2 linked regions of the Canis lupus familiaris genome follow. The protein of the gene in region 1 binds, or shares a complex with, the protein of each later gene. Links are inferred from orthologs where the notes say so. Each region holds a gene or a part of one and is shown in the gene's direction. Other genes may lie near its edges. The genes, in order: CSF1R and CSF1.

Evidence for each region.
Region 2: the proteins of CSF1R (region 1) and CSF1 are in contact, whole or in part, in a crystal structure (PDB 3EJJ), measured with the Mus musculus proteins. The link is inferred for Canis lupus familiaris from reciprocal best matches to the Homo sapiens genes CSF1R and CSF1. Residues at the interface, in NP_001032948.2 of Mus musculus: Arg142, Arg146, Leu149, Arg150, Lys151, Lys168, Val169, Leu170, Ser172, Asn173, Val231, Gly232, Phe233, Leu248, Ser250, Asp251, Phe252, Asp254, Asn255, Tyr257, Lys259; in NP_001107002.1 of Mus musculus: His38, His41, Met42, Gly44, Asn45, Gly46, His47, Phe87, Gln90, Asp91, Asp94, Arg98, Asp101, Glu110, Arg111, Gln113, Glu114, Leu115, Asn117.

Annotation. Positions count from the first base shown.
Region 1 is NC_049225.1:59,905,385-59,909,195, forward strand, and holds part of CSF1R (macrophage colony-stimulating factor 1 receptor), read left to right. Parts: intron 1-1,395; coding exon 1,396-1,582; intron 1,583-3,811. UniProt on the Homo sapiens protein: Tyrosine-protein kinase that acts as a cell-surface receptor for CSF1 and IL34 and plays an essential role in the regulation of survival, proliferation and differentiation of hematopoietic precursor cells, especially mononuclear phagocytes, such as macrophages and monocytes.
Region 2 is NC_049227.1:42,498,054-42,501,864, reverse strand, and holds part of CSF1 (macrophage colony-stimulating factor 1), read left to right. Parts: exon of another isoform or gene 1-272; intron 273-363; coding exon 364-486; intron 487-1,705; coding exon 1,706-1,768; intron 1,769-3,295; coding exon 3,296-3,466; intron 3,467-3,811. UniProt on the Homo sapiens protein: Cytokine that plays an essential role in the regulation of survival, proliferation and differentiation of hematopoietic precursor cells, especially mononuclear phagocytes, such as macrophages and monocytes.

The DNA of each region.
Region 1 (3,811 bases):
TAGAAGGGCAGCAGGAGTCCTGAGGAGGAAGAGCCCCCTGTGGCCTGAAGTGGTGGATGGGGACCCCCTGATAGGGATGAGCCTGGAAGGATGAGAAGGATTGAAATAGAAAAGAGGAAGTGGAGGGGGCTCCTGGTGGAGAAACTGGCTTGATAGAAACCTCCACGGTAGGAATGACTGTGGTGTATTCAGGGCCTATGAGAACGCCCAGATGGGTGGAGCAATATGTGTGTGTGTGTGTGTGTGTGTGTGTGTGTGTGTGTGTGTAGGAAGAGGGGCGACAGCTAGACGGGCATAAAGAGAGACCTGATTGAGGAGAGCCTTGACTGCCAATCTGTATGGCTCCAAGGGGAGCCAAAGGGACTTAGGAGCAGGCAGGTAAAAGAGTGAGTTTTAGATTTCATAGACGAGTAAGGAGAAGAACCTTTAGAGATCATCTAGTTCCAGGCTTTTTGTAAAGTCTTGGGGGATTTGAAAAAGTATTTCAGGAGCTTCCGTGAGAGGCATGGAGAGGGTAAGTGGGGATTCTTGCCATAGCTCCTCTGCCTGAGATTCAACCAAAGCAACTTGATTTTAATTCATGCAAGATTTAATTAGAAGAAACAAGTCAGGACTTTTTCAGGCATAGGTAACAGAAATCAACTTGAGCTAGCCTGATCACAAGAGGATTTTATTGGCCTTATAGCTAAAAAGCCCATGGATCTGAGCTTCAGGTGAACTGGATCTTGGTGTTCAGTTGATATGGACAAGAACCTGTTGCTTCTTGCCTCTCAGCTCAACATTTTTCTTGTGGACTCCTTCAAGTATCAGGCTTGACAACCCCCTGGAGTTAGGGCTTCTCCTTTCCCAGAGCTCCAACAAAAATCATGGAAGTAAGTGTCAAAGGACCCAAGGGCTCATGTGCCTACTCTAAACCACTCACTGGTCCAAAGGGGACACACTACTTTGACTGGCTGGCCTAAGTCACATGCCCTCCTTAGAGCTAGATGTGGAAGCTTCACTGCCTGAACTATAACCAGAAGAAGGGGAAATGAGTGAGGGTGTCTTTGCATTTTGCCACTTTGATTTTTTTGCCACTGAAAAACTTTCAAAGGTTATACCAACACAAAATATTCAATCTCTTGGTTATATAAATAAGGAGGCAGAGGTAGCAAAGAGGATAAGAATTTGTCCGAGTTCTCCCAGGGGCTCAGCGAAGTGTTTGGGTTTCTGTGGGGCTGTGGTGGGAAGGGAGATGCCAGAGCATGAGTCTTGGTTAGGGGTGGGGGCTGCACACCTGGTGCACACAGGAAGGGTCCAGCTAAATGGCTGAGTCAATGGGTGGATCACCAAATGAGCAAATAAACTGAGACATCTTCCCAGCAATGCCAGATCTTTACGTGTTCTGCTTTCCAGAGAGTGCCTACTTGAACTTGACCTCTGAGCAGAGCCTCCTCCAGGAAGTGACTGTGGGTGAGAAGGTCGATCTCCAAGTCAAGGTGGAGGCCTACCCAAGCCTGGAAGGTTATAACTGGACCTATCTGGGACCTTTCTCCGACCAGCAGGCCAAACTCAAGTTTGTCATCACGAAGGACACATACAGGTACCACCTGTCAGCTCAAATCTGGATGGCCCCACAGCCAGAAGGGGAACACTTCAGCCAGGAAGCAGGACACTGACTGGGTCATATCTCAGCCTTGCTAGTGACCTGGATCAAATAAATCCCTTCCCTTTTCCGGGTCTCACTTTTCCTGACTATAGAACCTCAATATCAGTCATCTGTGTTTGAGACTTTGATAAAATTGGCTTGCCCCTCTGTCCCACATCCTTGGAAAATCCAATGCCCTCCTCAAGAGTTCTACTATTTCTTGGGGTGTGTATTCTCAGGCTCACTGAAGATTCTTTTTTTTTTTTTTCACTGAATAATTCTTAATCCCATTAATTCTCTTCTTTTGTGGCCAATCCAAATATAGAAGACAGTGCTTCATGATTTCTTTTCTTTTTCTTTTTTTTTTTTTTTTAAGATTTTATTTATTTATTCATGAGAGACACAGAGAGAGACACAGAGACACAGGCAGAGGGAGAAGTAGGCTCCATGCAGGGACCCCGACGATGTGGGACTTGATCCCGGGTCTCCAGGATCACGCCCTGGGTTGAAGGCAGCGCTAAACTGCTGAGCCCCCCGGGCTGCCCCATGCTTCATGATTTCTACTCCTAGACACCCTCCTAATAATGACTACACAGGCAATCTACCGCATACATGGGTTTAGGGGGTAGACAGAACTAGCATCACACAATCACATATACATCAAAAGTTCTTTAAAGGGCTCATTCTTCTCTACAGGCTCAAAATGCTTCTCATAAAGTGTCATCTGACTCCTTTTCCCCCTTCTTTCCACTTCTAGAATCTGGCTTATCTCCCAAACACAACATGTTAGAAGTCTATTTTCTGTCTCCTTACGACCTCAGGGTGTCACTTTCCCATCCAAAGTGGTGTAACCAGGTTGTCTACTACATAAGAGTCTCGTCTATAGGAGGAACACCAGTAGCAGGTGTTAAAACAATAGCTTCTTTACCCACTTGTGTCTGAACAAGAGTACGGCACTCAAGAACAGCAAGCATGCGCTGTGCATGCAACCCATTCCTATCCCACGCTCTTGACAGACTTCTCTATTCTACTGTCGAGCTCTTTCCCTCAGGGTCCCCATGCAGCCTGGGAGTCCTTGACACCATCTCCAGCCAGTATTTTCATCATTAATTGACTTAGGAGAGGAGACATATTTGCCATTATTTAGGGATTTGCTAGATGTTTGCTAGATACTCCCTTAGCCAACTTCTAACTCCAGAACTCTCCGGAGTTCTTTTTCTAGCTTCTGAAGCCCAGACTTCATGAATGCCTGGCTTCCAGCTTGCCAAATTTCAGAATCAAAACAGAACAAAATGTTCAGCAGGACAAAAATGTTTCCTTGTCCTCCTCATTTTTCTCCTCCCAGTTCCTTTCTCATCTATTCTGGTCAGGATTTCTAGCTTCTCCTTGTCTAAAGCAGAAGTTCTGAATCTAGAGTCTATAGACCCCTGGGAGGGGGTGGTCCATGGACAGGTTTCAGGGATCCATAGACAACAGGGACATTGCAAAAAAGAAACTCTGGAGATCCCCCAAACACGGTAGTGTGGGGTCATCCAGCACAGGGCAGAAAAACCTGGTCACCAAACAGCCACCAAACTGAGCTCATGTGATGGATGTGTTCATTCATGATGGTGACTTTGAGTCACACAAAAAAGTTAAATTCTTCCAGCTTAAGAGGCAGGTGTGTAGAGGGGTTCTGTATGCCTAAGGTCTAGCTGAATGAGATTGCCCTTTGAATACCATGGGTATTAGCCCAGTGTAATTTATAATGATATGCTGTAGTTTATTTTTAAAAAACATATCTGTTACCTAAACAGTGCATGTCCATAATGGACAAATGCTAAAATAGAGCTTAAGAAAAGAAAAAAAAAAGGAAAAATTATCTGGAATCAGCTGAGGATAACTTGTTATTTGCATTTGCTTCTGGGTCTTTTCTGTAACAAAAGGCACCATTAAATTGGTATATAACCGCAATCTACATTGAGTTGGGCTCTGAGTCAAGTACCCCGAATATATGCCCCTTTCGTCCCCAGGCCAAGCCTGTGAATTAATAACCATCAGTGTAACCCTCACAGAAAGGGAAGCAAAGGATCAGACGTTGAGTACCTTGTCTAAGATCACACAGCTAAGAAACAACAGCACAAGAACTTGAACCCTGGTTTCTGCAGCCCTGGGGCTACATCCTGCCTCTCATCCCTCTCACAG
Region 2 (3,811 bases), on another chromosome or scaffold:
GACACAACAATGAGCAGATGCAAGTCCTGTGCTCGAGGAGTGTCCTGTGTAATTGAAATTTAGACTGGTAGGAACACCTTCCATATCCTCGTGAGAAGTTCAGTGTGGGATCAAGCTTGGCCTGGGTTAATCAGGGAAGGCTTCTTGAAGAAGATGACATGTGGGTTGTCAAGGGAGAGCAAGACAGTGCATGCCAGTGAGGAAATCTTGAGAAAGCTGGATTCAGGGACCACTGCATCCTGGGGTAAAGGGCAGAACCTGGAGCATTGTAGGTATGAGGTCCTTGGTTTTCCCCTCTCCTCAGGGCATGGGGGTTCCTGGGGAGACGGAGAGCTGGGAATAATGACGCACTCTCTATCATAGACATGGCTGATGCCCCTGCTGCTGCTGGTCTCTCTCCTGGCGAGCCGGAGTACTACCGAGGAGGTGTCAGAGCACTGTAGCCACATGATTGGGAACGGGCACCTGCAGTTCCTCCAGCAGCTGGTGAGTGTGGGGCCGTGACTGTCTACCTTCTCCTCACTGGGGAAACTGAGGCAGGAGCCAGGCAGCAGGGTCAAAGGCAAGGGTTGCAGGCAGTGAGGTATGGCTGTGCAGGATGTGGTTTGTGGCTCCCACCTAGCCCCACGGATTCTCTCCTCAGTGACCTTCTCGGGGTCAGGGCCTGTCCAGACCATGGACAGGGTGGGCTTCCAGCCACTGGCCTGGGTTAATGATCGCCCAGGGTGTCAACCATGGACTTAGAAAAGGCTTGTGAGGCCTGCAGTCCCTCGCTGAGATGCTTCCTCTAGGGAGCCAGCCCAGTGTGTCTGCCTGCTGCATCCAGATGTTGCTTCTAACTCCTGGACTCCCAGATATGCCGCCAACCTGGCACCAGGGCCTCAGCCAGATCTGGAGTGGAGGCTCCAGCCTACCTCCCAGCCCTCCGCCCTCACTTTCCTGGCTCTTGCCTGAGCCCCGGGGCTGGGAAGGACTGCTCACCCAGGCCGCCATGGAGGAGCCCGTGCCTTGTTCTAATTGGGCAGGCAGGGATGTCAACAATTCCAAATGTGATTCAGGGAGGCAGAGTCAGGTTACCATGATGGCCACTGTCCTGCTCAGAAGAGAATTTACCGTCCCTCTAGCCGGCCAGGCCGGGTGGGGCAGCACTGGCTAAGGCCAGCTCCTTGGGGCCTGTAGGCTGGGCCTGCTGCCTCTCTTACCGCTATGGTTTTCCTCCTGCACACAGCTGCTACAGCTCTCCCAGGTAGACCAAGAGCCACAGCATTCTCTGAGCCTTAGAATCACAGAACCACTGCTCTGGGGGGGCCAGTGAGGGCTTGATGGACATCTAGCCCCAGCCCCTATATATTCTGAACCCCCAGATCTTGTCTAGTCTATGCTTGAATTCCCACCACGACAGGGAGCTCACTACCTATCATGGAAGGTTATGCCCAATATCCTCTGAGATAGTTCTTCCTTATAACTAACTGGTCTTTGTCAGATTCATGGAGTAGGAGGTGGAAGGAAGAGACTTCTTCTACAGTCCACGCTGGGCATGTGGGAGGCACAAGTCTTTCCCTTGGCTCTGTCTTTCCCAGTGTGGTTGGTGGGAAGGTAGAAGAGGCTCAAAGCCTGATCCAGCCAGGGACTCTAGCCCTCATTCTTAGGTGGGCCCAGTGGAGCTACAGACACCCTGCCACCACTGGCCTGCTCTCTCTTACAGATTGACAGTCAGATGGAGACGTCGTGCCAGATTGCCTTTGAGTTTGTAGACCAGGAGCTATTGGTGAGTTCTGGTTATTTACAAGGCCCGGGTGCCAGCTTTCCGAGGTGGGTATATGTGGGAGCACGGAGGGGGTAGAAATCCTCTACCTGGGCAGGTAGGATTTGAGGGTGGGAGGATTGCCGGTTCTCAGTCCTGGGATGCCAGGGTCTGGGGCTGAGCAAGGTCCAGGCCTCAAGTCCCCTGCTGCTCCCTTCTCCTGCCCTGGCACATATCAAGCTCTTACTATGTGCCAGGCACTTTCTAATTTAATCCTGACGGTACAACTATGTGATCTGCTAATCTTGGTTATTGTCCTCAGGGAGGGTAAGGGAGCACAGCTACTAAGTGGTGGAGGCCTGATTTGAACCCAGGCAGGCTGGCTCTAAGGCCTAAGGCACACCAATAGGCCTTCTGCGTCACATGCTTTGCTTAAGGATGTCATTTCCATCCAACAGACAGCACAGCAGCCAGGGAGTCGGTCCAGCCCTTTCCCTCCTCCTCCTACCCCACACCCAGCCAGCCCCCGTGAGCTGCTGTTCTGTCTCCCAGCAGCTCTGGGTTCTGCCCCAGCCTTGCCCAACCAGTTGCCTGGACAGTGCCAAGCGCCTCCTAAGAGGCCTCTCCCCTTCCAGTTGCACCCATAATCTAGCCCGTAGGGGGAGCTCTCGGAACTCCAGCCTATTGCCTTCACTTCCTCTCCTGAACCTGTTCTGGCCCCCCTTGCTGGGGGAGAAAGCCCAGCTGGGTCAGCTTCAGCTTCGCTGGGGGAGAAAGCCCAGCTGGGTCAGCTTCAGCTTTGGGGGCACATCACCTGGCCCGCCCCCGCCATTGCCTTCCCCTCCCTGCCTCCCAGCCTGTGCACACGCTCCTCCCGTGCCTGTGACGCCTTTCCAACTGCCTGGACCCTGTCCCTTACTGCACATGGGCTCATCCTTGTGCCATATACAAAATCACCGCGGTGCACCCAGAAGGGGCTCCCATCTCTGAGCTTCTGACCCCCTGACCACCTCACGGCCCAAAGACTAACCTCAGTATTTCACTCGATCACTCACGCAGAAATGATGGGGCCAGGTACTAGGATAGAGAGCTGAAGCAGGCTGTCTGTTGAGGCAACCACCATCCCTCGGGAAGACAAAACACTGAGGTTATTCTTTGTCCCCTCTGGTGTCCTCTAGTTCCCCTGCAGCCTGGAGGTTTAGAAGGACTTTTGTGAGAGCAAGCAAAAAGACAGCAGTTCCCCAGAGCCCACCCTACCCATGCACCCCCATTCTGATTAAAGCCGCATCTTCCAGAAATCTGAGGAGGTCTCTAATCAGAGCCGCCACTTCCTTCCCTCTACCCCAATTCCAGATCCCAAAGAGACAGAGTGAAAGAGCAGCCAAGGTCAGCACCTCCCTTCTTATACTAGAGTGGCTTGGCCCTCACCTCAGGGGCAGGTGTAAGGCAGGCTGCAGCCCTCCATCTGCCAGGACTGGGGACATCTGTCACAGAGCCTGGGTTCTCAGACCACATCAGGCGTACCATCAACTCCCGTTTCTGGTTTTCCAGAAAGATCCCGTGTGCTACCTTAAGAAGGCGTTTGTCCTGATGCAAGACATAATGGAGGACACCATGCGCTTCAAAGACAATACTCCCAACGCCAATGTCATCGTTAAGCTCCAGGAACTCTCTCTGAGGCTAAAGAGCTGCTTCACGAAGGACTACGAAGAGCAGGACAAGGTAGGAGTGTCCTGGGGAGCACTGAGTTCTAAGAGCCTCGGGTGGCTTTGGGGGTACCATCCCTGCCCATACACGCAGAGTGTGTTTGCTTGCCTCTCACCCCGTGTCATTGTTCACTCACTCTCCCATTCATTTATTCACCCTACACACCTCTGCTAAAGACATACCATGCGGGAGACACAGTACTGGGCCTTGACGATGTCTTCGTGAGCAAAAACTACATGGTTCCCGCCCTCGTGGAGCTTAGGGTTAGGGGAGGCTGGTAACAATTAAACAAACAATGACACAACTATATAGAATTCCAGAGCGTGAGGACTATTCATTCATTCAACAGATAGTTACTGA